Rattus norvegicus: one gene and its partners. The protein of the gene in region 6 interacts with the protein of the main gene of each other region in a biochemical or structural test. Links are inferred from orthologs where the notes say so. Each region holds a gene or a part of one and is shown on either strand. Other genes may lie near its edges. The genes, in order: Mapk12, Tanc1, Slc16a7, Rps6ka1, Dgkz, Sntb1 and Frmpd4.

Region 1 (3,500 bases), about 33 Mb from region 6:
TCCTTTGGAACTCTGGCTCCTAGCTGCCTGGGAGGCTTGAAGCTGAGCACTTCCTTATACGTAACACCTGCAGGAAAGGAAGAGAAGCAAATGATACAGTTAGACAGCTTCCAACCAAGGGGAGAAGCCAGCACCCCCATGGGCTTTTTAATCTAATCCTAAATGGACCAATCCACCTAAAAACACTAAAGACTGCTGTGAAGCTAGATTTCCCCAGGCAAACAAGTGATGAAGGCTGATGTTCAAAAAATAAAATAAGGGGTTGGGGATTTAGCTCAGTGGTAGAGCGCTTGCCTAGCAAGCACAAGGCCCTGGGTTTGGTCCCCAGCTCCGAAAAAAAATAAATAAAATAAAGTAAAAGGTTTGTGTTGAGAGAGAGAGAGAGAGAGAGAGAGAGAGAGAGAGAGAGAGAGAGGTAGGTCTGTATTTAAAAAAAAAGGAAGCGAGAAAAGAAAGTGTGAGCTATGAGCTATTCGAGGTCTCAGTTGTGTGTCTGTGTGGTCTATGGTGAAAGCAACAGCATCCAGCCACAGCGAGTAGATGGAGACCACAGAACGGATCTTGTGGTACGTGGTTAAGGGAGTCATTTTGTTTAGCAGCAGAAGGGTTTCGTCACACAGAACCAAGCTCATCAGTACACAACACTTAAGGGACGAACACCTGCCAGGGCTTTTAGAACATGATACGAGAGAACCTCAACCCACCCAGTCTTTCCCACTCCAGGGTGCAAGAACAGGGCCTGGGGTCTGAGGCAGACAGGACAAGGGATGGGGATAGCATGTCCCCAGACCTCCCTACTCCCTACTGGCAGGTTGGACCTGCCAGTCTGGAGCAGACACCAGAGGCTAGTTCCAGCCCACGGAACAGTAGGCAAACTGAGAAGGCTTCTCTGGGGCCAGTTCTCAAAGAGAAGATGCTCTTCCCAGAACCTGGAGGTTCGGCACATAGATGTGGAGGGATCTGGGGCTGGAGGTGAGAAGGAAAAGTTGGGCCCTTGGGCCTGCGTGGGAATATACTGTCTTCCATGGGCAGAACATAAGAAAGATATAGTTGGGGTTGGGGATTTGGCTCAGTGGCAGAGCGCTTGCTTAGGAAGCGCAAGGCCCTGGGTTTGGTCCCCAGCTCCGAAAAAAAGAAACAAAAAAAAAAAAAAAAAAAGAAAGATATAGTTGTTTCAGGAGAGGTTCTGAAAAGGACTAAGGAGAGGAAAGGATAAATTTTAAAGGTGTGAGAAGAAAGTCCTAAGGACAGGTGGTGGTAGAGAAGGCCTCAGTGTGGTCTAGACATGAGGACACTGGGCAGTGTAGGGGTTGGGGAGAGAAAGGCCAGGGAATTAGCAAGCCAAGGGCGCGAAGCACACACAGATGCACCACGTCTGATGGCATGGGACCCATCACATGCCAGCCTTCGTCAGAGCTCCTGAAAAGGACACTCTTCACCACTGCGTTCTGCCCTAGCCAGAAGTCAACCTGGTTGAGTTGCACTGCCCCACAATGCCCTTTGACCTCCCAACTTCTTATCTAACCTGCAACCCAGGGTCGGAGGCTCATCCACACAGGACGCACAGGGTCCAAAGCCTGACATTATGTGTCACCCATACTCACGCTTCCATTCCTCAAGGGTGCGGTCTACGTCATCAAAGGAGTCATCATATTTCTGGGCCTTGGGCTCATCCTCAGTGTCCCGAAGGGACTCAAAGTATGGGTGGGCTAATGCCTCAGCTGCTGTCACCCGCTGTTCCGCATCCAACACCAGCATCTTTTCCAGGAGATTCACGGCTGTGGGGAGAGCAAATCAGGCCCAGCCACAAAAGAGGGCATACTCACCCAGTTGCCTGAAACCTTCACCCATCCAGCCCTACCCTGAGGGCTTGCATTGGTCAGGACAGAAGCAAAATCCTTCTTTTCCAACTCAGGGAGGCCTTCCATGTAGTTCTTGGCCTGTGAGGGAAAAAGGGTGATAGGCCAGCCTCTAAGTCCAAGTCCAGCCCATTGCCCACTCCCCACTGACCTCAGCACTCTGTAGCTTCTGTACAAACTCAGGAGGGGGTGTCCCTGTGACTTTCATGATCTCCTTCAGCTGGTCCAGGTCTGTATCAAGGTCAGGAATACAATGCAGGGGCAGAGGGTGGCCCACCCAGAACCCACATCATGGCCAAAGTCAAATGATGTTCTACATCGAAGGATACGGTCATTGCCTTTGAACAGGATCTTTCCAGTAATCATCTCTGCCATGATGCAGCCAACAGACCAAATGTCCACTGAGAAACGTCCATCGGTGCCCCACACACAAGGGTCACATTCACATTCATGAAGGCCAAGAAAAGGGGACACACAAGAAACCACACATAGGAGACAAGTATACGTGACAGGGAGGCAGGTGTGTACATAGGCACAGAGCAGAGACTGTCATTGAGGAGGGTGACAGAGTTCCACCCCAGTTCACTAACCTCCCAGAGGTAGGGCCTACAAATGACTCCCTATCAAGAAATGAAGGGAGCTAGAAGTGGCTAATCAGTTAAGAGCGAGGGATGCTATTCCAGAAGACCTTGGTTTGGTTTTCAGCACCTACGTGATAGCTCACGGCCATCTGTGACTCCAGTGCTAGAGAACCCAGTGCCTTCTTCTGGTGTCTGTGGGCACCAAGTACACAGGTGATGGACACGTGCACATAAGTACTTACACACATAAAATAATGAAATAGGTTCTTATAAAAATTAAGAATGCGCAAGGCCCTGGGTTCGGTCCCTAGCTCCGAAAAAAAGAAAAAAAAAATAAGAATGGGTTGGACATGGTAATACAGCCTTTAATCCCCAGGTTGTAACAGACAAAAGCAGGTCGATCTCTGTGGATTCAAGACCAGCCTGGTCTACCTAGTGAGTTCCAAGCCAGCCAGGACTACAAAAGGTCTAGAAAGCAAGCAAGCAAGCAAGCAAGCAAGCAAGCAAGAAGAAGCAGAGCCAAGTGGATCTCTGTGAGTTCAAGGCCAGCCTAGTCTACATAGTGAGTTCCAAAAATAACCAGAGCTACATAGTAAGACCCTGTCTTCAAAACAACCAAACTGAATATATATACGTACACACACATTTTTCTCAACAAATAATAAAAATGGAGAAAGGAGGGGAGAGAGAGAAGGAAGGAAGGAAGGAAGGAAGGAAGGAAGGAAGGAAGGAAGGAAGGAAGGCAGGCAGGCTGGCTGAGATGTAGCTCAATGACAGGGCACTTGACTAGCATGAATAAGACTGGATTCCATCGCCAATACTACAAAAATAATTTAAAAATAAAACGAATGTGTAAATGTGGGTGGCATGCACTGGAGTCTCTGAATAGCCTCTTACCTGTCTGTGTGTAACGCATCCAATTCAAGATGACCTCTGGTGCCCGATACCACCGGGTTACCACATATCCTGTCATCTCACTGTCCGCCTGCCTGGCAAGGCCAAAATCTAGGATCTAAAGAAGTATCAGGGAGGTGGAACTTAGACACCGAGGATAGACCAC
Region 2 (3,500 bases), on a different chromosome or scaffold from region 6:
CTCATCTTCTGAAGGATCTTTTAGAAGTAGTAAGATGTCAAAACAAAACAGGAAACAGCTTGGGCCTTCAGAGGCAGGGAACTGGGAAGATGAGTCCGTGGGAAGATTAATGCTTGTTGTAAGTAGTTGGTGAGCTTTGATACCCAGACTTCTCCGCTTCTCCAGAGGTTGGGACCCTGCCCTCTGCTTCCCTTTTCCTGGTAGAAAGTCTTCTCCTGGCTGTAAGCTAAAAGGGTGGGCAGGGGGCTGCCCGGAATTACTTCCTTGTTTTCTCCATCACAGTTGTCCAGATTTCGAGGAGGCACATAACAGTGCTCCGTGTAGGTAAAACACACACTGAAGAGCGTCTACACTCCAGGCCGCAGTGAAACCAGTGCATTGTTGGGAATCTTCCAATATGTTCCCCTCCCCCCACAACCCCTAATTAGATGAGTTGAGATCTATATCTAATACCATTTCTAGGAGTTTTCATTTAGTTCCCCCCCCCCCCCCCCCGCCTTCCCCTTCTCAGGTAGGATTGTCAGTGACATCATTGATCCTCCAGGTTTCCATCCCTTACCTTCCTCCTTTTTGAGTTACCCATCTACAAAGCATCTTCTGCTAGAAGATACTGGAAAGAGGGTCTGAAATGGCTGTGTCATGCTCTCTCTGTACCCTGAGCAGGAAGCTGTTGCTAGTAAAACAGAAAACCAGCTTTAGGCTGCTGTGCAAAGGACCTGCCCTGGGCATCCGTGAAGCAGCACTTTCACTGCCCAGAGATTCTGGCCACACAGCCCTTGGTGGTGCCATGGGGAACTCCTGGTCCTCGGATTTCGGAGTCAGGCAGCTGAGGGGTTCCAGCAGTGGGCCAGGTGTCTGCTCCAGGTTTAGGCGGTCTGCATGTCAGTGACTTTGGCTGCAGGTTACCGGGTTTGTGAAGAACTAACTGCATTCTACATGAGCCTGGGATGCAGAACTAACTGTGTAAGACTGAGCTCTGTGCTGATGTCTGTAATGCAGCATGTTTCTGAGAACTGTTTTGTAAGACTTGGTTTTCTTTTGGCTCGGCGCTCTGTTTTCCATTATAAATTTAATAGGAAATATGGTTCGTTGAAAAACGTGTCTCCTGCCATATGTAAACCTTTTTGAGGTTTTGCTAACACTTTTAAGCTGCATGTTAAGATGCACTGGGTGGCGCCATGTGACAGAAACGTATCATTTCTTAATTTGCTTAAAAATCATTTCATCTTTCAGAGCAGAAAATTCCAGAAGAGGAATACATCATCTTGATAGATGGCTTGAATGAAGCCGAATTTCATAAGCCTGATTACGGGGACACGCTGTCTTCATTCATTACCAAAATCATTCCTAAGTTCCCCCCCTGGCTGAAGTTGATCGTGACCGTGAGAGCAGATTTTCAGGTGACAAATACCCCCCATCCCCCGCTCTCTTTCCAAGTTCCCACACCCCACATATACAGAGGCAAGTGCTCCTGGGCTAGTGTTAGAGCCCGTTTGGCTACTGAATTGAAAACCATTATTGGGACTTTGAAAAAAGTGGTTCAGAGAGTCCCATAGGAACAAGAATCGTCACAGTGTCAGCTGAGCAGCCTACTGTCAGTGAAATGGCAGCTGGCTTCTGTAGTGAGGTGTGAACGGGCTGAGATTTCCGACTGAGGTTTCCGGTCAAGCAAAGTACTGGAGCTTCTGGGTTTGGGAGCCATTTGTTATGGGCATGACTTGTTTCATTTCGTGGAGCTGGGTAATCGTGTTCATGATTTTTCCTTACTAAAACCCGCAACTAAACCTACATTTAAATGGCAGCCCACGCTTCTCTCTATGACCTTTGGGGTCATACATTTTCAGTCAGGTCTCCCACACTAAGCACAATCTAGCAGCTGGGTTAAAACTTGGAACTGGTTCCTGTATCCCTGTGCTGGCTTGTTGCTAAGATCAGTTTCCGCGCAGCACGGGAGCGGCCGTCCACTACCCTCTTCCTGCCATTACTACCTTAAAAAAACGGCGTGGGCTTCAGAAGAGTTCGTGAGAAGTTAAATCGTTTCTTGGGGCTAGGACCTTGTCTTGGGAATAAAGGAGCAGGAACGTCAGTGACCCTGTGCACTTCAGATTCAGCCAAGGAGAGATGGGTCGGCGATTAAGAACGTGGGCTGCTCTTTTGTACAACTTGGGTTTGCTTCCTGGCACCCATACGGTGGCTCACAACCACCAGAGCTCTACCTCCCTGGTCCGACACCCTCGTCATGGGTACCAGGCATGCACTTGGTGCACAGACATGCAGACAAAACAAAATACTTTTTTCGAAAAGAATACTTAAAATTCTTTTAAACTGAGAACGTGCTATAGCAGAGCAGGAAGTGATTCCTGCTGCTCGTGGTCTGGGGACACAGGCCGAGCGGGAAGTCTCCTGTTCCCTGGCAGGGTTACACAGCCCTGGTATCTGATGCGGAGAGGGCACGTCTTACCTCAGGGTCTGGCTGCCTTCTTAGACGCGCCGTGTTGGTTCGTGTTTACCCTGGTTCTAGAACCAGCCGCTCAGGGATTATGGGTATCGGGTCACCTGCAGGGTCTCTCTGCCCCTTCTGTTGGTGTGGCCTGGCTGCTGCTGCTGCTGCTGCTGCCTCCTGGGGCCCCTCCCTCTGCTCCCTTGGCCCAGAGTCCTTAGTGGGGGCTTTGGGAGAGATCCTATCTCCCCTCAGGATTTCTTTCACTTAAGCTTTTTATCAGTACCTCATCCTATTACATGTTTGAATACAAAACAGCGAGTCCCTGTAATCCACGGAAATCCTCCTTGAAAGGGGCCGGGCGAGCCTGGTTTAAAGTGGGAGGGAATCTCTTTGGGGGCTAACACCGGGATTGCGTTTTTTTTTTTCTCTCTCAGGAAATCATCAGCACGCTGCCTTTTGTCAAGCTTTCCTTAGACGACTTCCCAGGCAACCAGGACATCCACAGCGACCTGCACGCATACGTCCAGCACAGGGTCCACAGCAGTCAGGACATCCTCAGCAACATCTCCCTGAACGGCAAGGCCGACGCCGCCCTCATCGGCAAAGTCAGCAGCCACCTGGTGCTGCGGAGCCTTGGCTCCTACCTGTACCTCAAGCTCACGCTGGACCTCTTCCAGCGGGGCCACCTGGTCATAAAGAGCGCCAGCTACAAGGTGGTGCCTGTGTCTCTGTCTGAGCTCTATTTGCTGCAGTGCAACATGAAGTTCATGACCCAGTCTGCCTTCGACCGAGCCCTTCCCATTTTGAACGTGGCCCTCGCGTCCCTCCACCCCATGACGGATGAGCAGATATTCCAGGCGATCAACGCCGGCCACATCCAAGGCGAGCAGGGCTGGGAGGACTTTCAGCAGAGGATGGAGGCCCTCTCTTGCTTCCTCATTAAGAGGAGAGACAAAACCCGGATGTTCTGCCACCCGTCCTTCAGAGAGTGGCTGGTGTGGAGAGCGGATGGCGAAAGCACAGCCTTCCTGTGTGAGCCCAGGTAACGCAGATGCTT
Region 3 (4,294 bases), about 26 Mb from region 6:
TACATTGGGAAAAGGAATTGCCTTATTTGGTCAAAAAACATCAGAGAGAATGTCTAGAAAAGAATTGTCTTTGTTGCTTGGTCCTTATGATTATTACACACAGAATTGAAATCTTGGAGAAACATGTTTTGCAACAGGCTGGCACCTGGTACTCAGTTCTAGAGAACTGAATTCTTTCCCTCTTTGGAAACCATGAACCTCATCTTAGTTTCTTTGCCTGTTACTGTGATAAAATACTCTGACCAAGGAAACTTCAAGTTTTATTCTAGTTTGTAATCCAGGTTATTGTCCCTCATGGGAGGGGAGTTACTGAAGTAGGAACCTGAGGTCACATCCTGTCTGTCCCCAGTAAGAGGCAGAGAGGGAGCAATGCAGGCATCTTGGCCCTGCACTCGCTTTCCCCACAACAAGGATGACCCCAACCTATGTTAAGACTGAGCTTCCTACACCGGTGAATGTAATCAGGAAAATCCCTATAGGCTTGCCCTGGTGCCCATCTCTCAGGTAAGTTCAGGAATCACGTCCACAATTAGCACTTAAGTCGCCCCCCGCCTCCACCACCATGGAACTTAGAGACATTCTGCTGTTTAGTACAGAGAAATAGGGACCTTAGATCCTTTAGAAATTAGAGATGGAAGCCAGGGACCATACATAAGTAACTGAAACTCCACACATCAATATGCCCATACTCAAAATATTCACACGGTGCCTGTCTTATGTAGTTCGAAGAATGGGGTAATGGATGAGAATTTGTTTGGTGAAATACCTCCTAAGGGCTGCAGAGATGGCTGTCAGTGTCTGCTGTACGTGTCCACAGCACCGTGTAAAATTCCAAGAGTGACAACAAGCTACCGTTACCATAACACTGAGGAGGTGGAGCCCGAAAGGTGCAGAGGCTCCGTGGCTGCCCAGGTCTAGCGGAATCCATGAGCTTCCCGGTCAGCGAGAGGCCATTTCTCAATTTAAGACAAAGATGAAGAGCGATTCAGGATAGCAACCCCAAGTCCACTTCAGGCAACCAAACGAAGGTCTGTGCCCTTGACCTCTTCGTTACTATTCATAATTCTGTCTTCTCCAGTCTCAGATTCTGCTAAGGTTCATAGACACAGCAACGCTCATTGTACAGGGATTTTTACTGCGCCTTCCAGACGCGGTATCAAATTACACGCTGGGGAAAATACCCTTGAAAGCCTGCCCACTTCAGCTACAGAGAAGGAAAATCGGAAGGTTAAACGTAGCAATTCTGAGTGCCAGACACGTCACCTTTTTGACCCTGGCTATAATTTAAGCCCAGTTTACGTTACACCGTGAGAAGTCTGAACTAATTGTGCATGTCAAAGCAAGTTCTTCAAGAAGAGAGAGCAAACTACCTTTCCCCTATTTGAGAGGAAAGAAGGGAGGGAAAGTGGAGCCTCGGCCTCTGGAGAGCTGTGTGCAAGTTTGCTTCTGGCTAAAAGTTAATGATCAATCGCTGTGCTCTCAGCTCCGAGTCCCCAACAAGTGGCTAATGCGGCTTTTCTCTCGCTCTCCAGGTAACATTAAATCTCTAAAACTGTGCTCACCTTGGCTCTGGTAGACTATAGGCATGGCTTGCTTCATTCTTGTTATTCAATTTCATGTTTTAAGTTTATAAAGTACAGTTAAAACTCATAAATGTTGCCTTGTGGAATAGTACTTAATTTCTGGAGTGGACCGAGTTAAGGCTGGCTGATGAGACATTGTGTGCTTGCAGTTGCAAAGAGAATTTTAAAATGTTCTATGAAATTTGCTATTGTGGTTCTTAGCCCCCATGGCTGAAAGATGAATTAATCCTAATTATCTCAAAGAATACCTCACATCATGTAGCCTGCCAAATTTTGATTTGGAGGAATGGTTTTAAATCATGGGTACCACTTTATTTTGAAAAATAAGAGTAGTTTTTTACTCATTAAATTTTTATTTAATTTGTACTTTATGTTATCTAACAGTAAAGTGTCCTTATTTCTTAGATGAGTTGTTACATCTTATAAATATGTGTGCTTGGCTGGAAAGTCCTAAAATAAACTACATTATTTTTGGTATGCAAGCTAGGTAAGTTGGTATGGTGGAAGATAGGTGGTTATGGTGTAGTTGTTTTTCGTGTGGTACCATTGAGAAGTGGTAGTGTAACTAAAGACCTTGGTCATCCAAGTTTCCTGTGTAAAGCCACCTCCTGAAGATATCCGTATATACATTGTACATCTTTAGAACTGGTTATTCTGCATCAGTGTTTATCACTAAGGACTCATTGCTCAGTCACAGGAGCCCGTATGAGGCAGACTCAGAGAAAGTCTCTGTTCCTTTCAGAAGTGTCTGCCCACTGGTGTCTTTATTCAACAGAATTCCAAGGCCAAGGAACTTGTGCTGGTGGGATGTAGACTAAAACCACATGAGCTTCCAATTGCGTCAGCAGCCCGACACTTCCGCGATGCTCCGTATGTGTTTCCATTCACAGTTGCCTTCTCCACAGCTGAAATTAAACATCAGACAATGATTGATGATTTTGCAATTGAAATCTAGAGCTGGTGGGAACACAGAGGCACATCCATTTCATACACAAGGAACAGTGTCCAGGGAGGGGACTCGGCAGCATAATGGGCACGGCTGGGAGTAGAACAAGACCTCTGCTCTTGGGTGACGAGTAGGGCTGGTGGTGTGCTACTCTACGCTCTCGCTGGTTTATTCCCTAAACAATCTCTGCTTTGGAGCAGAGCTGGCAAACACCCACAGCTCAAGTGAGCTCAAGTGCAAGGGGCCAGTGATGGTTTCTGGTTCACCTCTGGCATTGAGTCTGTTTATCAGCTGGACTTGTAAAACCTGATCCTGTGCGTTGCTGTATTTGCTTAGGTTTATTTAAGGTCTCCTTACAGGAGGAATTTGTCAAAGTTAGGGATAAGAATGTCGCCACTTATTTGGGTGCACATCAAGTCAATGTTGAGACGTCTATAATTCATAAGCTCTGAGGTGACTGAAGTTTTAAAGAGTTTTTTTTAAAAGAAAGTTTTAAGGAAATTTAAGATTATTGAAGTCTTATTATTAAAAGTCAAAGTATATAGTAATGTAAAAATGCTCATATGAAGTTTGAAATGATCCACGTGTAGTGCGAAAACAGAGCAATCATTTGCCGTGACACTGTAAAACATTTTAGATTCTAACAGTTAAGACTGTGTGTGTGTGTGTGTGTGTGTGTGTGTGTGTGTGTGTGTGTGTGTTCATATCTCTACGTCTGTGTCTGGGTGTGTCTGCCCATCACAAATTTGTATGTAGTGTGGAATGTTTGCAGCATGCATGTATGTGTGCACATGTATACTCATGCTGATGTGTGCAGAGACAAGACCAGAGTTTGAGGGTGTTTTCTTTCTTGATTTCACCTGCCTTTATGTCCTTAGAAGAAACACAGTCTCTCACTGAACAGTAAGTTTGCCATTTTGTCTTGGCCAGCTGGCCAGTGATCCCTTGGGGTCCTCCTCCTGGCTTCACCTTTCCGATAACAAGGTTGCAAGCACACAGCTATACCAGGTTTCAAACATGAATGGCAGCGATTTGATCTCAGGTCTTTATGACTACAGATCAAGGACTCTTACCCACTGAACCGTCCCTGAAGCCTGAAGTTTGTTGTTGTTGTCATTGTTTTGTGTTGGATATGTGCAGATTTTTTATAGTTCTAGTATATTCTTCCCTTGGCACATAACAAGTAGTTTAAACACCATGTTTTACATTTGCTTTTCAGCTCACAAGCCCAAGTTTGCAAATCGAGCTACCACCAAAAAGCTTATCTCTGATTCTTTATTCCATTATTAGACACAGACTACCTGAATTATACACTGTAGAAGTTTGTCAGGTTCTGATAGATTTAGTAACTCAGAAATCATAAGACTTCAGATTCTCTTTTTTATTTCTTGGGGGAAAAAAAGCAAGCGGGTTCAAGACCAGGAAGGATATTTAATGTCCACTGGCTTTGAAGATCATGGGTGAGTCACATGACCAGTGACAGTCACCATTACATGTGAGTTCTAAGAGGGGCCTGTAGCCCTTGACCTACTTGGTACAGTGTGCCAAGCCTGCCAGTTCGAAGAGCAATGGGCCTGGTATGGGATGTATCCTCCTCAGCATTCCTAGCTTTGCCCTGACAAAGCCCCATCACGTGGGTGGCTTAGACCAACTGAAAATTAGTCTCATTCCATTTTAGAGCCTGGAAGTGTGAAATAAGGCGTAGGCTGGGCTGCGTTTTCTTGCCTCTTCCGGTCCTTGCCTGACCCAGGTTCTGCTTCATTTG
Region 4 (3,500 bases), on a different chromosome or scaffold from region 6:
ATGCAGGATCAAGTACAATGTCCCACTGAGTAGAAAAGTGATTCTGGCCGCCTCCCCAAGCCCCAGTCCTACTTTAATGCTTTGGAGCAGAATGCCCAATACAGACCATGTCACCAAACGGTCCTGCGAAAGAACCCAATCGTAAGTATGAACAAGAGCCTGACTGTTCTACAGAACCAGCTCAGGGACTAGAGGCTTTGGCCCTAGGTATGAGCAGAGGACATCATGATTCCCTACTCCCACCCCGTCACTAAAACACATAACTGGATGCCGATGGTTAGACATGGTCATGATAAACCCCCTTTCGAATTCTTCCACTATAGACACAGTTAAATCCAAGAAGACTAGAATTCCTGGAAGTTCAGTGGCCTGTAATAGCTAAGTTTTCTAGCTGGGTACAGAGCTATAATGTCTGTAATCCCAACACTGGGAAGGCTGAGGCAGGTGGATCTCTGTGAGTTTCAGGTCGGCCTGGCAAGGCTGCAGGGTGACTTCATAACTAGCCTGGGCTACATAGCAAATTTTAGGCTAGCCTAGGTTACATTCTAAGACTTTATCTCAAAACTAATAAAAACAAAAGCTGCAAAGGCTGCCAAAGCTGTCGCTGCTCTCACCTAACGAGGCCTCTCTAGTCTCAAGGCCTCTGAGAGGAATCTTGCTTCATAATCTCATGGGTGAAAATACTGGAACCTATAGCTTTACAGGTGAGAAAGGGGAAGGTCAAATGCAGAGGCCAAACCTTGCTCTCACCTTAAGTATGTTCCATTCCTATTTTACCTTTTTTTCCTGTTTATCTTGGGTTTGGAGAGATGACTCAGTGGTTAAGAGCACTGGCTGCTCTTCCAGAGGTCCTGAGTTCAAGTCCCAGGAACCACATGGTGGCTCACAACCATCTGTAATGAGATCTGATGCCCTCTTCTGGTGTGTCTGAAGACAGCTACAGTGTACTTATATAAATATAATAAATAAATCTTAAAAAAAAAAAAAAGAAAAGAACGAAAGAAACAGGGCCCAGGTGGATGAGGTCACATGCATTTGAAGACAAAGTCTCTCTATGTAGATCAGCCTGTCCTTGATCTCATAAAGATTTGTCTGTCTCTGCCTTTTGAGTACAAGAATTAAAGGTCTAGGATATAGAAGGCCCTACCTCAAAAACAAAAATTCTTCATCTACAGGTATTTCCAGGTCAAGCATCAATTCCTGTTCAATGTGGCTAGTCAGAGGCAGGCTGCATGGTACCCTTCTTATATTTGTTTGTTTTGAGGCAGGCCTGAGGAGATGGTTAAGAACACTAGCTGCCCTTCCAGAAGACTAATGTTGATGCCGAGCCCCATGACTGGTGGCTCACACCTGCCCTCTTCTGGCCGGCAGTGTGCACCTTCGCTCACACGCACATAGCATTTTTTTGTTTTGTTTTTTGGAGACAGGATTTCTCCGTGTAGCCTACTGGGCACATAGTTCTGGGTTATACTCACGACAGTCTGTAATTCTATTTCTATAAGACCCGATGCCCTCTTCTAGCCAATGCAGGCACTAGGGAACTAAATGTGGTACACAGACATGTTTGCAGGGAAAACACCCCCCCCACACACTCATGCACGCACGTGTGCGCACGCACACACAAGCTAAACAAGCCACAGTGAGCAAATCAGTCAGCAATGCTTCTCCGTGGTCTCTGCTTCAGTTCCTGCCTCGATTTCCCTCAACTGGACTGTGGCGTGGGAAGTATAATCCAAATAAACCTTTTTCTCCTTGTCACGGCAATAGAAAGCAAAAGAGGGCGCCATGTAAACACTGGGCAGACACAGCAGGATCCCTGTAATCCTAACACTCAGGAAGCGGAGACAGGGATGGATCTGAAGATAAATTGCTTGGCTAGTCAGCACAGTCCTGGAACAACTCGAGACCCTGCCTCAGTATATACACAATGTAGCGTGACTAAGGACAACATCCAACGTCAACCTCAGATCTCTACACTCAAGCACACGTATGCATACCAGCCCGCATACTCGCCTAATCAAATGCAAGCTCACACACACACACACACACACACACACACACACTACACACATACATACTACATACACTACACACACATACACACTACATACATGCTATACGCACACACTACATACACACATCCATCATACATCCATATACTACATACATACATACATACATACATACATACATACATACTACATACTTGTAGATGTGTGACGTGGTGGTGGCACATACCCAAGGCCTAACTCTAACATGTGATGCTCCTCCTCCCTTGGCCTCTCAAGTGATTACAGGTGGGAAGCCATGTCTAACTTCCTATACTTTTTTCCTCTTTGGAAATAAGGTGTCACTAGTTGGATCAGGCTGACCTCTGACTCCTGAGTGCTGAGATCAAAGGCTCAGGACACCAGACTGCCATCACTGTTAACCCTTCACTGTCTGATCAGACGCTCCCCAAAACATCACCCAAGCCAAGAGAGAACCACTATGAGGAACTTGAACCGCCCACTCAGCTTACCCACCAAAGCAACATCAACAAAGAAAGCCATACCCTGCTCTTTGGCCCCACCCATTCTCTCTCTCTCTCTCTTAGTACCTGGGTCATCCTCTCGAATACCCTGCATCTTCCAAACAAAAATCTACCCCTCCTTGCAACTTCTGGTCACCATTTTCCCCGGTTGTCTGATCCTGGGAAAAAGACTGTACAGCTCCAACCCTCAGACTCCCCCCCCCCCCCCAAGGGCTGGGGACCGAACCCAGGACCTTGCGCTTCCTAGGTAAGCGCTCTACCACTGAGCCAAATCCCCAACCCCAACCTTCAGACTTTTGATCTGTCAAGTGCCAGTAACCTGACAGGTCATTCAACCAATCAAACATCTAATTCAGGATTTGGTGAAAATCCCACTGAAAGAACCAAGGAAACTTTCTCTTACACTTGTCCTGGTGTGCGGCACACACTAGGTGTGGCACACAGTAGGTTCTGGACAAATGGTCTTGAGCCAGCCCTCATCTCCCCATTCCTCTTACAGCCAGCCACCTACCCAACCGGAGTCCCCTCTGACTGGCAATTTGGAGACGGTCCCTCATGAGCCAGCCAGTTCTTGCATTCTACCCAGGTCACGACCTTGGACACCCCCAACTCCTCTCACGGAGACTTACCCCTTGGGAGTGCAAGTATTCCACAGTCTTGCTGATGGTGTACAGGACGAAGCTGGCCTCCCGCTCTGAGAAGAATTTCTGCCGTAGGATCTTATCCAGCAGCTCCCCGCCCCTCATCAGCTCTGTCACCAGGTATACGTGCTTACTGTCGTCATACACCTGCCAGAGACCTCGTCATCAGGCTGCGACCTCACCCACCAGCTCTCCAGACAAGCAAGCCTCAAGGCTGGGTTCTGCCAACATTTATTTCAGGGCCCACCACCCGTTTGGGCTCCCGTCTTGCTGGACAGTGGGCGCTGGTCTCATCTATGATGGTCAGAGAATGCTGGAGTCCTCAG
Region 5 (4,062 bases), on a different chromosome or scaffold from region 6:
CCAGCGGGGCACAGAGGGCTAGTAGCACTGTCAGCAGATGCTGTAGTGTTTGTCTTTGTGAACCGAATTGACACTGTTTCTATCCTCAAGAAATTCAGTCTGGCCGGAGTAACAAACACACACAACTAAAGAACTAATTATAAATGGTTAGAAAGTTTCCAGTTTCTCCCTAAGCTGCCTGAAGACTAAGGAGCAAGCTTGACCCTCACTAGTGTTTCTGAGCCCCTCACGGAAGCCTCAGACTCCATGACAGTTTGGCCTCAGATTTTTTTAGACCCTTCCAGCATCCTCCTGCCTCCCAGTTCTTTAGCCACACTGCCTCATCCGTGCTTGGAACTCATGCTTTACTGTTCTCTGCATCCACAATGCTATCCTCCAGATGGTCACATGGTCTGTTCACTCTCATGATTCATTTGAGTCCATCCTCAAATGTCACCTCCTTGCCAAATCCCCATGACTGCCACCTCCCCCCACCCCATTCATTTCGGCTTCCCCTTTCTCTCTTTTTAAAATAGCACATCTCATTGCCTAACAGGCATGGATTGTCTTTTCTGACTGTCTTCCGCTTCTAGGCTCTAGGTTCTGTGGAGGTACAACTTGCTTCCTCCACCCCTGCTCTAATCTAGTGCCCTAAGCATAAGTTGTACCAACCGGTATTTCCTAAATTGTCTATAACCCCTTTCACCTCTTATTTAATCCACTTACAACCCAATGAGTCCAAACTACAATTTGTTCTATAGATGAGAAAAACTGAGGCTCCCCAAAGCGCTCTGACAGAAGTAGTCACTGATTTATTGTTTATAACCACATCCCTAAAAATGTAAGGTATCTTTAGAAGATTTGTGGCCTGGTCCAGATCACACTGCTGGCAGATGGGAGAAACTGAACATGAGCTGGCGTCTTCTACCCTCTGCAATTTTCAGTACACCACCACCCTGTGTGGCTAGCTCTGTTGAAAGGTATGGTGCATACAAGATGCTAAGAGAGAGCTAGACACCGACAGGACAGGCTCTAGCCAGTCTGTGTACCTGGGACCAGTGTACCACAAGGTATGTCAGGAAGTGAGAGACCATTAGAGGACCAAGAGGTGAAATTCAGAGACTTTATTTGGAAAGTAAAGGCCTGGAGCTGGGGTGCAAATTCCAGCCCAGGCAGGTCTAGTGGGTGCCTGGCAGCTTTTGACTCCTGGAGTTGTCTCTTGATTGCTAGGCTGGGCTTGTCCCCACCTGCCCCTGCACTCTCTTGTAGCTGTGTGCCTTGCCAGTGTTCGGGCCCCAGTCCCAGTCAGCGGAAGGCGCCGAGAAGCCCTGTGGTCCTCGGCTTGAGCCTCCAGCCGGCCTCTAGCAGCAGTCCCCCCCTCAACCCCCCCCCCCCACGTCAGGAAGTGCGGAAAGAGGAAGAGAGTTGCTGGGCAGGATGAGCGCACTGGGGGCTGGCCACAGCGCCGGGGGAGGCTGCGATGTGGCTGCTGCTGTGGGCCCCGCGAAGGTGCTGGGGACGAAAGAAGCCGAGCTGCCAGGGGCACTGAGGCAGATGTGGCGCTCCCGCTCCTGGGACGTGCCACAGATCCCAGCTGAGGTTCCCCAGACACAGTAGGTACAAGGGTGGCCTGGGATGGGCACAGAAACCTCATCCTTCTATGAACTTTCTATATAGTGTGGAAGAATGGCAGAAATGGGTTCACCCATCCATTTCCCAGTTATTCCATGGAGGCACAATCTAGAGAAGTTTGGAGGTAGCGCTGATGCTTCCAGGTTTGGGGTAATTTGATAGAAGGCTTCGCTCTGAGATTGAATTTGAGAGAGAACGGCAGGGGTTGTCAGGAGAAGAGCCCTCCCAGGACTGTAGTACACAATGTGGGAGTTTTCTCAAATCCACTTCAAGGACTGTGTAAACTCAATGGCATCTTCGAACTACCCCCTTCCCCTGCCCCCAGCTTTTCCCACTGAACTTGGTGATAACCACCCGATGACTTCCTCAAAGAAAACATGTGTACCCCCAGGAAGCCAGGGTCAGGCCCTCTTCCTATCCAGCTTGGTCCCCATTGCTGACTGGACATCTGAAGCCAGCTTCTCCAGGCCTTCTAGAAACTCAGTGTGTAAGAGAAAGTGCTGGGCTTCGGGGTGTTGACTGTTGCTTAGAACCACAGGCTTGTCCCTGGGTCACAGCCCTTTAGCTTTGACTATTTGTGGCAGGCAAGGCCTGGAAAACGGGCTGCCACAGCCCCAAAGGAAAGGGTGAGATTGAAGGCAACACAGGATGTGGTTTTCTAGAACCGAGGGCTAACTGAAACAGTAGGCATCAGGGTGGCATGATCTGGGGAGGAGGTGACCAGGGTCACTGACTTCCAGGTCTTCCTGGCACAGTCCTGCAGCATCTAGAGACCACCTGAGTTGTGGATTCCCAAATGTATGTGGATGGTATGTCACCTGGGTGACTTCTTGTTCCAAACTGGTCTCCCTTCTGGAGGAGAACGTTTGTCAAACATGAAGAATATTTCTGGATGTGTATGTGAAATATGAGGTCTTTGTAACCACTGCCCTCAGGGATATCTATGTGTAGGAGATATTGTCTTCTATATGGGTGTATATGTGAATGAGTGTGTAGGTTGTAACTGTTGTCCTTGTGTGTATTTGAATGTGTAGGAAGTACCATAGCTCATCCTTACAGCATAAGGATTCAAGGGAACATTGAACATTGTGCTGGGAAAATTTCCCTATGTTAGGAGTGGGTGAAGGGTTGAAGCCATTGTGAATAGCTGTAGAAGGATGACTGTGTCAGTGGAACATTGAAGTTCTTTGTGATTGTGTGAAGGTAATTGAATGGCTTTGGTGTCCTGAATGTGAGAGAAAAGTGTGAGTTTGATGACTGAGGATAATTCCATGTGAGGGGCGTGCCTGCTGTGTAGGGAGAACGCTGTGTGACTTTTGTCTGTGGGTGCACTTATGGATAGCCAAGGGGGTAAGGGTAGAGAGCGCATGAGTGGCTGAGTGGGCGCAAGAGAGCAATATATAACTTGTGGATGCGGGAGAAGTGGTGACAGCCGCCCTCGCGTGTTTGTACTTTGATCGTGTAGGTTGTTTGGTGGAGGAGGACATGGGGGGGGGGGGGAATCATACATCTGGAAACAGCTTGAGCGGCTCGGGCCAGGAAGTCAGTCCCTTACAGGCAGGCTGGCCACGGAGCTGGAGGTGGTGCCCTCGTAAGTCCCGCCCCCAGGCAGCCTCGACGGGCTTGCGACAAGGTTTGAGACCGGCAGAGGGCGCCGTGGGGCGAGTGCGGCTGTGCGGCCGAGGGGGCGTGCTCGGCGGCGGGCGGGCAGGCAGAGGCCCGGCCAGCTATGCGGGGTCCTGCGGCCGCGGCTGTCGGCACTTCCTGGAGCGGAGGCTGCTTCCCCGGCACCTGGGAGTGGGTCGCGGGGACGCGCAGCACAGGGCGGGCGGAGCGCGCGCTCGCCATGAGCTTGGCGGGCGGTGCGGAGCCGGCGTGCTGAGCTCCGGCCGCCGGCCCGGCATGGGCGTCTCCCGCGAGCCCGCTGCCGGCCGGGGCTAGGGCCGGATGGAGCCGCGGGACCCCAGCCCCGAGGCCCGGAGCAGCGACTCGGAGTCGGCCTCCGCCTCGTCCAGCGGCTCCGAGCGCGACGCGGATCCGGAGCCGGACAAGGCTCCGCGGCGCTTAACCAAGAGGCGCTTCCCGGGGCTGCGGCTCTTTGGGCACAGGTGAGCCGGGCGGCGGCGGGACAGGCTGTCCCAGCGTGGGTATCCAAGCGCCAGGCACAGGCGGTCCGGGTGGTGCGCGCGCTGGCACCGGCTGGTAGTGCGCTTCGTCCTTAGTGCCTTGACAGGGTCAGCTCCTAACCCTCCTGCAGGGAGACAGAGTCAGCCCAACTCCTTGGCACCAGCAGTCAGGGACCCTACGACTGGTCACCACTGCTCTTTTGACAAGTCTCCCTGAGCCTCTAGTTACCAGCGTGGTGGGGGCGGTCATACAACCCTTCGTGCTTCTCTGGAACCTATTTGCCAACTACCACTGCTTGGCGTCTGCTGATTGTGGTCACTGTGA
Region 6 (3,500 bases):
CTCAAAACCCGGTGTTCAGAAGCACTAGAAGCACTGCAGGGTCAAGGGATAGCAAGCAGACATAAGAACAATGGCCAAGGCTCCTTTGAGCCTTACTATCCCCAACATAGAACATGCTTTGGGAAAGAAAATCTGAATAACAGTCTTAATGTTATATACAAACTTTAATACATATAACTTAATGTTATATATAAACTTTTCCATGGCAGCAGTCTTCCATGAGACACAGTTGTGTCTTCACCACCACTACCACCACCACTCCCCCCCCATTACCACCACCACCACCACCACCCCCATCACTGCCTCCACCACTACCATCATTATGTAAAAGAACTATTTTTTTAATCCATCATTTTTATAAAAGCCAAAGAGTGATATATTCCACATTAGCCCATCTTTGGTTCAGAGATCTTTATTTAGTTGCCTGATTTGTTAAAATGTCTAAGCTAAGACTTTATGAATTATATTTACAGCATAAATTTAAGCTTCTGCAGTTGCAACCCTGTGTTAGATTTTCATCTTGTCCCTTTTGTCAAACATATGCATGACTTCTTATACACACATGTAAAAATAGGAATAGGGACAATCTAGGAAAAGGAAGAAGACTGGCCGAAGGGGGAAGGAATCAAGGAGTGAAATAATATATATGAATATATATGCCATTATGAAACCCATGATTATGAATGAGAAATATACTCTAATAACTAAGTTTTAACTGCTTACTGATCTAGTTTGTTTACACTCTTGCCTCACCCTGTATCCCATACAAAATAGATGCTCATTAAGAATGACATTTTTGGAAGAGTACCCTCATGGAAGCAGGGGGAGGGGGAAGGAATGGGGGTTTGAGGAGGGAAAACTGGGAAGGGGGATAACATTTGAAATGTAAGTAAATAAAATAACCAATAAAAATACAATTTCAAAAAAAAGTACAAGGAATAGATAAGGTGACAATGAATCAGCACAAAGTAGTTGCCCAATAAATCCTCATTATTAATATCATCACTGTCATTTATAAACATATAATTCCTAACAGATTTATTTAAATAAAATAAAAGCAAGTTCATTAAAATCCATAGCATCCATCTCCTAGATGCTGTACCAGAGCACATCACAGAAATCAAACTATTCATTAGCCTTCTCATTTGTCCATTGAGCAGTTACTTGCTTGGGCACATAACCGGCATGGTGGTTTGAATAAGCCCATAGGACCACAGGGAATGGCACTATTAGGAGGTGTGGCCTTGTTTGAGGAAAGGTGTCATTAAAACTCATTCTGACAAACCATTTCAACTCCCTTTCTCCTAGATGCTGTACTAGAGAATACTACAGAAATCAAACTATTCATTTGCCTTCTAATTCGTCCATGGAGCAGTTAGGGACCATATGTACTTTGCCACATATTTGAAGTATGCTAGGAAATGAATGTTGATTAACACAAATTCCCCACATACTGCAATGCTATGAGATCTTCTGCGATAGACAAGAAATCCAATTACCCGTAAGGAGAGAAGCAGCCTATAAAATGATTGAATTTCAGTGGAGGAACTTGTGGGCAATTGACAGAGGAGACTTTCTCTTACCTTTTCTGCAAGCCAGCCAAGATGCCTGATCTCACGACTGCCAGCAATACCTGTCTTCCCCAGCTGCTCCCTGATGTCAGCAACCACACGGACCAGCAAGTCACCAACGTTGGAATGGATAGCACTGAACCAGGCTTGGGCAGTGGCAGAGTCCTTACTCCTCAGGACCACTGTGTGCTTAGCATCTGGCGAGTGAATTTCAAGCTGCCTAGGGAGGCAAACAGAGGAGTTGCAGGATGACCTGGTAGTCCTTGCTTCACCACAGCCAACCTTTCTAAGGTGAATACCATGTTTACTCTGGACATTTACATTTATGGTTCCACTATTCCATCATTCATGGGATCATTAATTCAAATCATCAGCTGCCCAGGCTCTGGTTTGTGCCTTTGGAACACAGCATAACAGCATCATCACAAACGCCAACTCCCCCAAAATAAGGATATCTCATTTTCCTGTGATGCAGCAGATTCTGAGATCATATTAATTCAGTTGCACAGAGGATTTTAGTATTTCCCCAACACCATTGCTACTGTGGTAGGAAGCAGACCTCAGTAACTGGCCATGTTCTTAACCCCATTTCCCACTATTAGTCAAGATATTTTAAAATAGTAAATGGTCAAATCTTATATTCTTTGATTTTCATTCTTTTTTTTTTTTTTGAGACAGGGTCTCATGTAGCTCATACTGACCCCCAAATTCCATGTAACTGAGGAAGATCTTTAACTATTAATTCTGCCTTCTGTTCTTGCCTTTCAGGTGCTAGGATTGTATGTGTGTACCACTGTTCTCTAGTTGTCAAACCTTTATTCTTTAGGAACCTCATCTGTGGTACACTTAAGTATGACTAAATCACATATACACATCTCACAGTTAATACTGAACATCAAAGCTTATGCCAGAGTTGAAATTGGACCACTCAAGGTGTAGTTGAAAGGATCTGTTTATCTTAATAGTGGGATATTTTAGACAGGCTCTGAGGTGGTTTGAATTTGAATGGTCCCCATAGGCTCTTATAATTGATTGTTAAGTTACCAGGTTCTGGAGTTCTTTGGGAGGATTAGAAGGATGAGAAGGAAGTATGTTACTAGGTGGTGGGAAGGGCTGTGAAGCTTTGAGGTCTCAAAAGCCAGAGAAGGGCTGGGGTACTACTGCCAGGCATAAGGGTGCTGCTCCTTGGCAGAATGTAGACTTTGGGACTTTGGATTACAGAAGCAGCTGCACATTTTGAGTGGGGTTTAACAGGTCATACTAGTAGGAGCATGAAAGACAGGGGTTCTGAGACCAATGTAAATTATGATGGCTCTGATAACAGGTTTCAGAGGGAAAGAATATTAAGTGACCTAGAGACCATTCTTACAATATTTCTGGCAATGTGGATACTCTCTGCTATTGCCCCAAATTCTGCCTGTGGCTAAGAAAGGAAAGTTTTGGGCTAATAACACTGGCAGAGGAGATTTCAAGACAGTCTAGTATTAACTGTGTTGCTTGATTCTTAGTGGTCAGGATTATGCAGACCTATAATGAAAAGGAGCAAGCTGGACAAAAAGAAATACAAAATGTAAAGTGAAAAGAAGCACGAGGAAGTGTAATGGAACTAAGTTCAATGCTCAAAGAAGTAAAAGTTTAAGGTATAGCCTAATACTAAATGGAATAAAGGGAGCTATAATTTCAGGGCAAGGCCTCACCCAGCTAAGATTCAACTTGTAAGAAGGAATTAAGGAAAAGCTTAAGCAGTGAAGGAAACCATCAAAGATAGCGAGCTGATGTGAATGTAATTGAAAGAGTGGGCCAAGTTCCAGTTCCACCAAGCAGCCGAACTTGGCAGCTTTGGCAACATGGTTCTGGCTTTAGAGTGAAGGATACAAGAAAAGGGTTGTGTAATCTCTCTCCACGGCTAAGAAAATCTGCCAAGACCAG
Region 7 (4,003 bases), on a different chromosome or scaffold from region 6:
ACTTTGAAATGGCTACGAGGGATATGAGCTCAACTCCTCTTGTCTCTATGGCATACACTTTACTCATTGAGCCATTTCCCTATCCCCCCAGAATCTATCTTATTATGAGTAGGATCTTACTATTGAGTTTTTTACTGATTTGCAAAATCTTCAGAGTAATGACAGAGGAGATTAGTATCCTTTGTTTATTAAAATAAAGACATAAACAAACATAATAAATAAATAACAAAAATCAATTGTTTCTGGAAAAGTAGAGTAAGCCTATTTTGTTGATATAGAGACAGTTGTATATCCCCATATGGGTAATTGAGATACAGTGTACTGTCATATTATAGCCTTTAAGAGATGTGATGTCACCTCACCTGATACCTGGCAGCCTCCCACATCCCAAGTCTCTAGGACTTTATAGAGTATCCCCCCAGCCCTCACTCCTGGCAGCTGTATATTTTCATTTATTCTCTTGGCCCTCTGGAATTTTCTCCTGTTTCTTCCATACATAAAACTGCCCCCCCATTTCCTCTCTCTTTCCCCTCTCCCACCCAGGTCCCTCCCTCCCTCTGCCTTCCATGATTATTTTGTTCCCACTTCAAAGTGGAATTGAAGCACCCTCACTTGGGTCTTCCTTCTTGTTTCACTTCTTAGGAGTCTGTGAGTTGTATCATGGGTATCTGTACTTTTTGGCTAATATCCACTTATTAGTACACATCATGCCTGTCCTTTTTGGTGTGTGTTACCTCACTCCAGATATTTTTAGTTCCATTGATTTGCCTGCAAACTTCATGGTCTTAGCTGAATGCCTAACAGTGGGGCGATGGAACCCGAAGAGACCACATCCAGCAGCTACACAGGGTCCCTAGCGGAGGAATGAGGACACCAACCCACCTTCAAAATTTTTGACCCAAAATTGTTCTTGTCTAAAAGAAATGCAGGGATAGAAATGGAGCAGAGCCTGAAGGAATGGCTAATCAGTGAGAAGCCCACCTTGGGATCCATCCCGTTGATGGGTACCAAACCCTGACACAATTACTGATGCTTTATTGTGCTTGCAGACAAGAGCCTAGCATGGTTGTCTTCTGAGAGGCTCTATCACTAGCTGATTGAGGTAAAGGCAGATACTTACACCTAGGCATGGGACTGAGATTGGGGACCCTTATGAAAGAGTTAGGGGAAGGATTAAAGGAGCTGAAGGGGATGGCAACCCCAAAGGATGACCAACAATATCAACTATCATGGACCCCTGGGAGCTCCCAAAACTAAGCCACCAACCAAAGAGCATATTCGGGTTAGTTGGGGCCCCCTGGCACCTATGTAGCAGAGGACTGCTCCATCTTGCCTCAGTGGAAAGGATGTGCCCAATACTGTAGAGACTTAATGCCCCGTAGAAAGGGAATGCTGAGGAGGTACTCTCTTAGAAGAAAACGGGAAGGGGGATGGGATGAAGAACTCTGGGAGGGGGACTGGGAGAAGAGGCAAAAATATAAAGCCTGTAATGATAAGGGAGGGAGGGAGGAAGACAGAGAGAGGGGGGAGGGGGAGAGGGAGAAGGAAAAGGGAGAGGGAGAGAGAGGGAAGGGAAAGGGAGAGGGAGAGGGAGAGGGAGAGGGAGAGGGAGAGGGAGAGGGAGAGGGAGAGGGAGAGGGAGAGGGAGAGGGAGAGGGAGAGGGAGAGGGAGAGGGAGAGGGAGAGGGAGAGGGAGAGGGAGAGGGAGAGGGAGAGGGAGAGGGAGAGGGAGAGGTGGTGTGTACCAGTTCACATCTGTTGTGTAATAGATGATTCCAGCAATTGTTTCTTTTCCCATTTGTGGGTTGTTAGCATGATTCAGGCCTGGCTTATCTGGACAGATCTGATTCAAATTACAGATTGGGTTAAACCGAGGTTCAGGCTTCAGGCTAACTGAATGTTTCCCCAGGAGTTTATTGTGGGGTTGAGGCTGTAGGAATAACAGAATCCCTGGGAAAACATACCTTCTTTCAGCCACAAGAGAGTTCAACAGTACACATGCATTCCAACCTTCTGCTTGGATTGTATTTACCAATGTGTCATTGGCTAAAGTCATTTACTTGATCCATGCCAACAACAATGAGGCATAGAAATTGCCTGCCTTTAGTGAGATGGAAAGGATGTGTATACTTGTAATTCAACTGTCCTGGGACTAAATACCACACTGGTTTCTATGAGGTACTTACATCCATTAGAGTGCCTGCTTATCATTGTTTGCATTTCTCCATTCAGAGGTGATACAATGGGAACAGTAATACTATCAGTGTTTTTCCTGACCCAAGGGATATGATGGATTTGGCAGTTTAAAGTCTTCTTGGAAATCAGGCATGGGCATGTAGGCAGTAAGATTGCCATGAGCTTTATGCTAGGTGGGGTTACAGGTATAGCACCAGGCATACAGTGTAACAGAGCAAAGCTCTGTCTCCAAAATACCCCAATATATACATACAAACATACATGTTCTTAAATATGTAAAATAAAGCTCACTTCACTGGCACGTTTCTGTCTTTTTTGTCAATCTATTGATAAAGTGTTACTTCACTTCACAGCTTGACCTCACAGAACTGAATTGAAGTCACTCTCACTGGGTGTGACAAGTAGTCTTATGAAACAACAAAGAGTGTCTTTGGATCCTTACCTGGTGTTACCGATCGAACGACCACTGGCTTTTCACTCCCTGCCACGAACCCAAAGCCCAGCACAGGGTCCCTCCTCATCTCCACCTTCCGTGGAGCTGGGGGAATGATTTGGCAGCTGTCAAACCGAGGGTCATCAAATGGGATTGCCTGTGTCATGTGACTGTGGAGAAAAATACAGACAAGAGAAAAGAGGTATCAATGTGGCAGTTAGGCATCGGCCTTGAAATGAAACCCATTGTCACCGAGAGAGAGAGAGTAGGAAAGATATAGAGACTCATGGTCCTCTTTTATGATCTATATATTGCTCCTTGAGAACTCTGTAATACCCACATTAGGGCTTTGCACTGACTGTTCATACAATGTGGAATGCTTGTCCTACAGATATTTGCAGGCTGCACTGTTGCCTCTGTCAAACTTCTCTTAACATATAGCCATCTTATAAAAGACTACCTTGGAATAGTATTTTAATGTTTTTTAAACCTATTTACCCTTTTTTATTTTCTTTCTCTACCAAGGTACTACTTACCTACAAATGTACTACAGAAGCCATTTATTTTTATGATGATTTTTTTATTTTTACTGTTTTGCTTTCGACAAAAATGTACATACAGCCTTTAAAGGATAAAGTACCTAGTTGTTATGTGCATAGAGCTGGGAGTAGAACCCGGGACCTCATGTATGCTATGTACCTGTTCTGCCATTCAGCTACAGACCTAGTGTTACAAACTTAATTATGTTCAATGATATATTTTCTGTACTTAGAACTGAGTGTGACTGACAGCATGTTTTCAAAAGTTAATTGAATTGATAACCAGGGAGAAAAAGTTACTTCTTTGTATAACACTATCAAGTCTTACCTGAAATGCTGACCCATGGTCTCATAAGGTAATGGACATTCCTTAGGAAGTATATATGGTACTCGAGCTTAGCAAAGTTAAAATAACTTTTAACTTATTTAATAATAAGTTAAAACATGGATGGTTTTAGTGCTGATGCACTATGCTGATACCAAATAACATTCTCCATTTCAAAAGGAACTAAGTATTTAGGTTTTGACATTTACTTTGAAAAAAATGATTTGAATGATTTAAATGAACTTTCTCATTAACTGAAGTCTTAGTAATAAATCAAGCTCGAGTATTATATGACATTTGGGAAGTATAATTCTCTTCAGTGGTGTAGCCCTTGATTATTTGCCCTTGTTCTAATAAATAACTTTCTGCCCACACTTGTGCATGAAAGTCTAAGTAAACTCAGTGAAAGAAGACATGAAAATAGAAGGGGGATCCGTTAAGAAAAATGGTTCTAATAAGAGAGGGAGAGGGATAAAAGGAGAGGGATAGGGGATAAAAAGGAGTAAGATT

The links.
Region 1: the proteins of Sntb1 (region 6) and Mapk12 interact in a test that uses a peptide from one of them, tested with the Homo sapiens proteins (2 studies listed by IntAct, with this or other methods). The link is inferred for Rattus norvegicus from reciprocal best matches to the Homo sapiens genes SNTB1 and MAPK12.
Region 2: the proteins of Sntb1 (region 6) and Tanc1 interact in a test that uses a peptide from one of them, tested with the Homo sapiens proteins (2 studies listed by IntAct, with this or other methods). The link is inferred for Rattus norvegicus from reciprocal best matches to the Homo sapiens genes SNTB1 and TANC1.
Region 3: the proteins of Sntb1 (region 6) and Slc16a7 interact in a test that uses a peptide from one of them, tested with the Homo sapiens proteins (2 studies listed by IntAct, with this or other methods). The link is inferred for Rattus norvegicus from reciprocal best matches to the Homo sapiens genes SNTB1 and SLC16A7.
Region 4: the proteins of Sntb1 (region 6) and Rps6ka1 interact in a test that uses a peptide from one of them, tested with the Homo sapiens proteins (2 studies listed by BioGRID and IntAct, with this or other methods). The link is inferred for Rattus norvegicus from reciprocal best matches to the Homo sapiens genes SNTB1 and RPS6KA1.
Region 5: the proteins of Sntb1 (region 6) and Dgkz form a complex in vitro, tested with the Homo sapiens proteins (2 studies listed by BioGRID and IntAct, with this or other methods). The link is inferred for Rattus norvegicus from reciprocal best matches to the Homo sapiens genes SNTB1 and DGKZ.
Region 7: the proteins of Sntb1 (region 6) and Frmpd4 interact in a test that uses a peptide from one of them, tested with the Homo sapiens proteins (2 studies listed by IntAct, with this or other methods). The link is inferred for Rattus norvegicus from reciprocal best matches to the Homo sapiens genes SNTB1 and FRMPD4.

The regions. Positions count from the first base shown.
Region 1 is NC_086025.1:122,086,308-122,089,807, forward strand, and holds part of Mapk12 (mitogen-activated protein kinase 12), read right to left. Parts: intron 3,453-3,500; coding exon 3,338-3,452; intron 2,261-3,337; coding exon 2,189-2,260; intron 2,091-2,188; coding exon 2,011-2,090; intron 1,941-2,010; coding exon 1,862-1,940; intron 1,779-1,861; coding exon 1,605-1,778; intron 68-1,604; coding exon 1-67. UniProt on the Homo sapiens protein: Serine/threonine kinase which acts as an essential component of the MAP kinase signal transduction pathway.
Region 2 is NC_086021.1:64,693,037-64,696,536, forward strand, and holds part of Tanc1 (protein TANC1), read left to right. Parts: intron 1-1,233; coding exon 1,234-1,400; intron 1,401-2,877; coding exon 2,878-3,485; intron 3,486-3,500. UniProt on the Homo sapiens protein: May be a scaffold component in the postsynaptic density.
Region 3 is NC_086025.1:63,037,599-63,041,892, reverse strand, and holds the start of Slc16a7 (monocarboxylate transporter 2), read left to right. Parts: upstream 1-1,494; 5' UTR 1,495-1,532; intron 1,533-4,294. UniProt on the Homo sapiens protein: Proton-coupled monocarboxylate symporter. Catalyzes the rapid transport across the plasma membrane of monocarboxylates such as L-lactate, pyruvate and ketone bodies, acetoacetate, beta-hydroxybutyrate and acetate.
Region 4 is NC_086023.1:151,371,065-151,374,564, forward strand, and holds part of Rps6ka1 (ribosomal protein S6 kinase alpha-1), read right to left. Parts: intron 3,322-3,500; coding exon 3,163-3,321; intron 1-3,162. UniProt on the Homo sapiens protein: Serine/threonine-protein kinase that acts downstream of ERK (MAPK1/ERK2 and MAPK3/ERK1) signaling and mediates mitogenic and stress-induced activation of the transcription factors CREB1, ETV1/ER81 and NR4A1/NUR77, regulates translation through RPS6 and EIF4B phosphorylation, and mediates cellular proliferation, survival, and differentiation by modulating mTOR signaling and repressing pro-apoptotic function of BAD and DAPK1.
Region 5 is NC_086021.1:98,389,011-98,393,072, reverse strand, and holds the start of Dgkz (diacylglycerol kinase zeta), read left to right. Parts: upstream 1-1,262; 5' UTR 1,263-1,416; coding exon 1,417-1,592; exon of another isoform or gene 1,593-1,596; intron 1,597-3,370; exon of another isoform or gene 3,371-3,558; coding exon of another isoform or gene 3,559-3,719; intron 3,720-3,730; exon of another isoform or gene 3,731-4,062. UniProt on the Homo sapiens protein: Diacylglycerol kinase that converts diacylglycerol/DAG into phosphatidic acid/phosphatidate/PA and regulates the respective levels of these two bioactive lipids.
Region 6 is NC_086025.1:89,058,518-89,062,017, forward strand, and holds part of Sntb1 (beta-1-syntrophin), read right to left. Parts: intron 1,792-3,500; coding exon 1,584-1,791; intron 1-1,583. UniProt on the Homo sapiens protein: Adapter protein that binds to and probably organizes the subcellular localization of a variety of membrane proteins. May link various receptors to the actin cytoskeleton and the dystrophin glycoprotein complex.
Region 7 is NC_086039.1:30,252,958-30,256,960, reverse strand, and holds the start of Frmpd4 (FERM and PDZ domain-containing protein 4), read right to left. Parts: upstream 2,801-4,003; 5' UTR 2,800-2,800; coding exon of another isoform or gene 2,796-2,799; coding exon 2,639-2,795; intron 1-2,638. UniProt on the Homo sapiens protein: Positive regulator of dendritic spine morphogenesis and density. Required for the maintenance of excitatory synaptic transmission. Binds phosphatidylinositol 4,5-bisphosphate.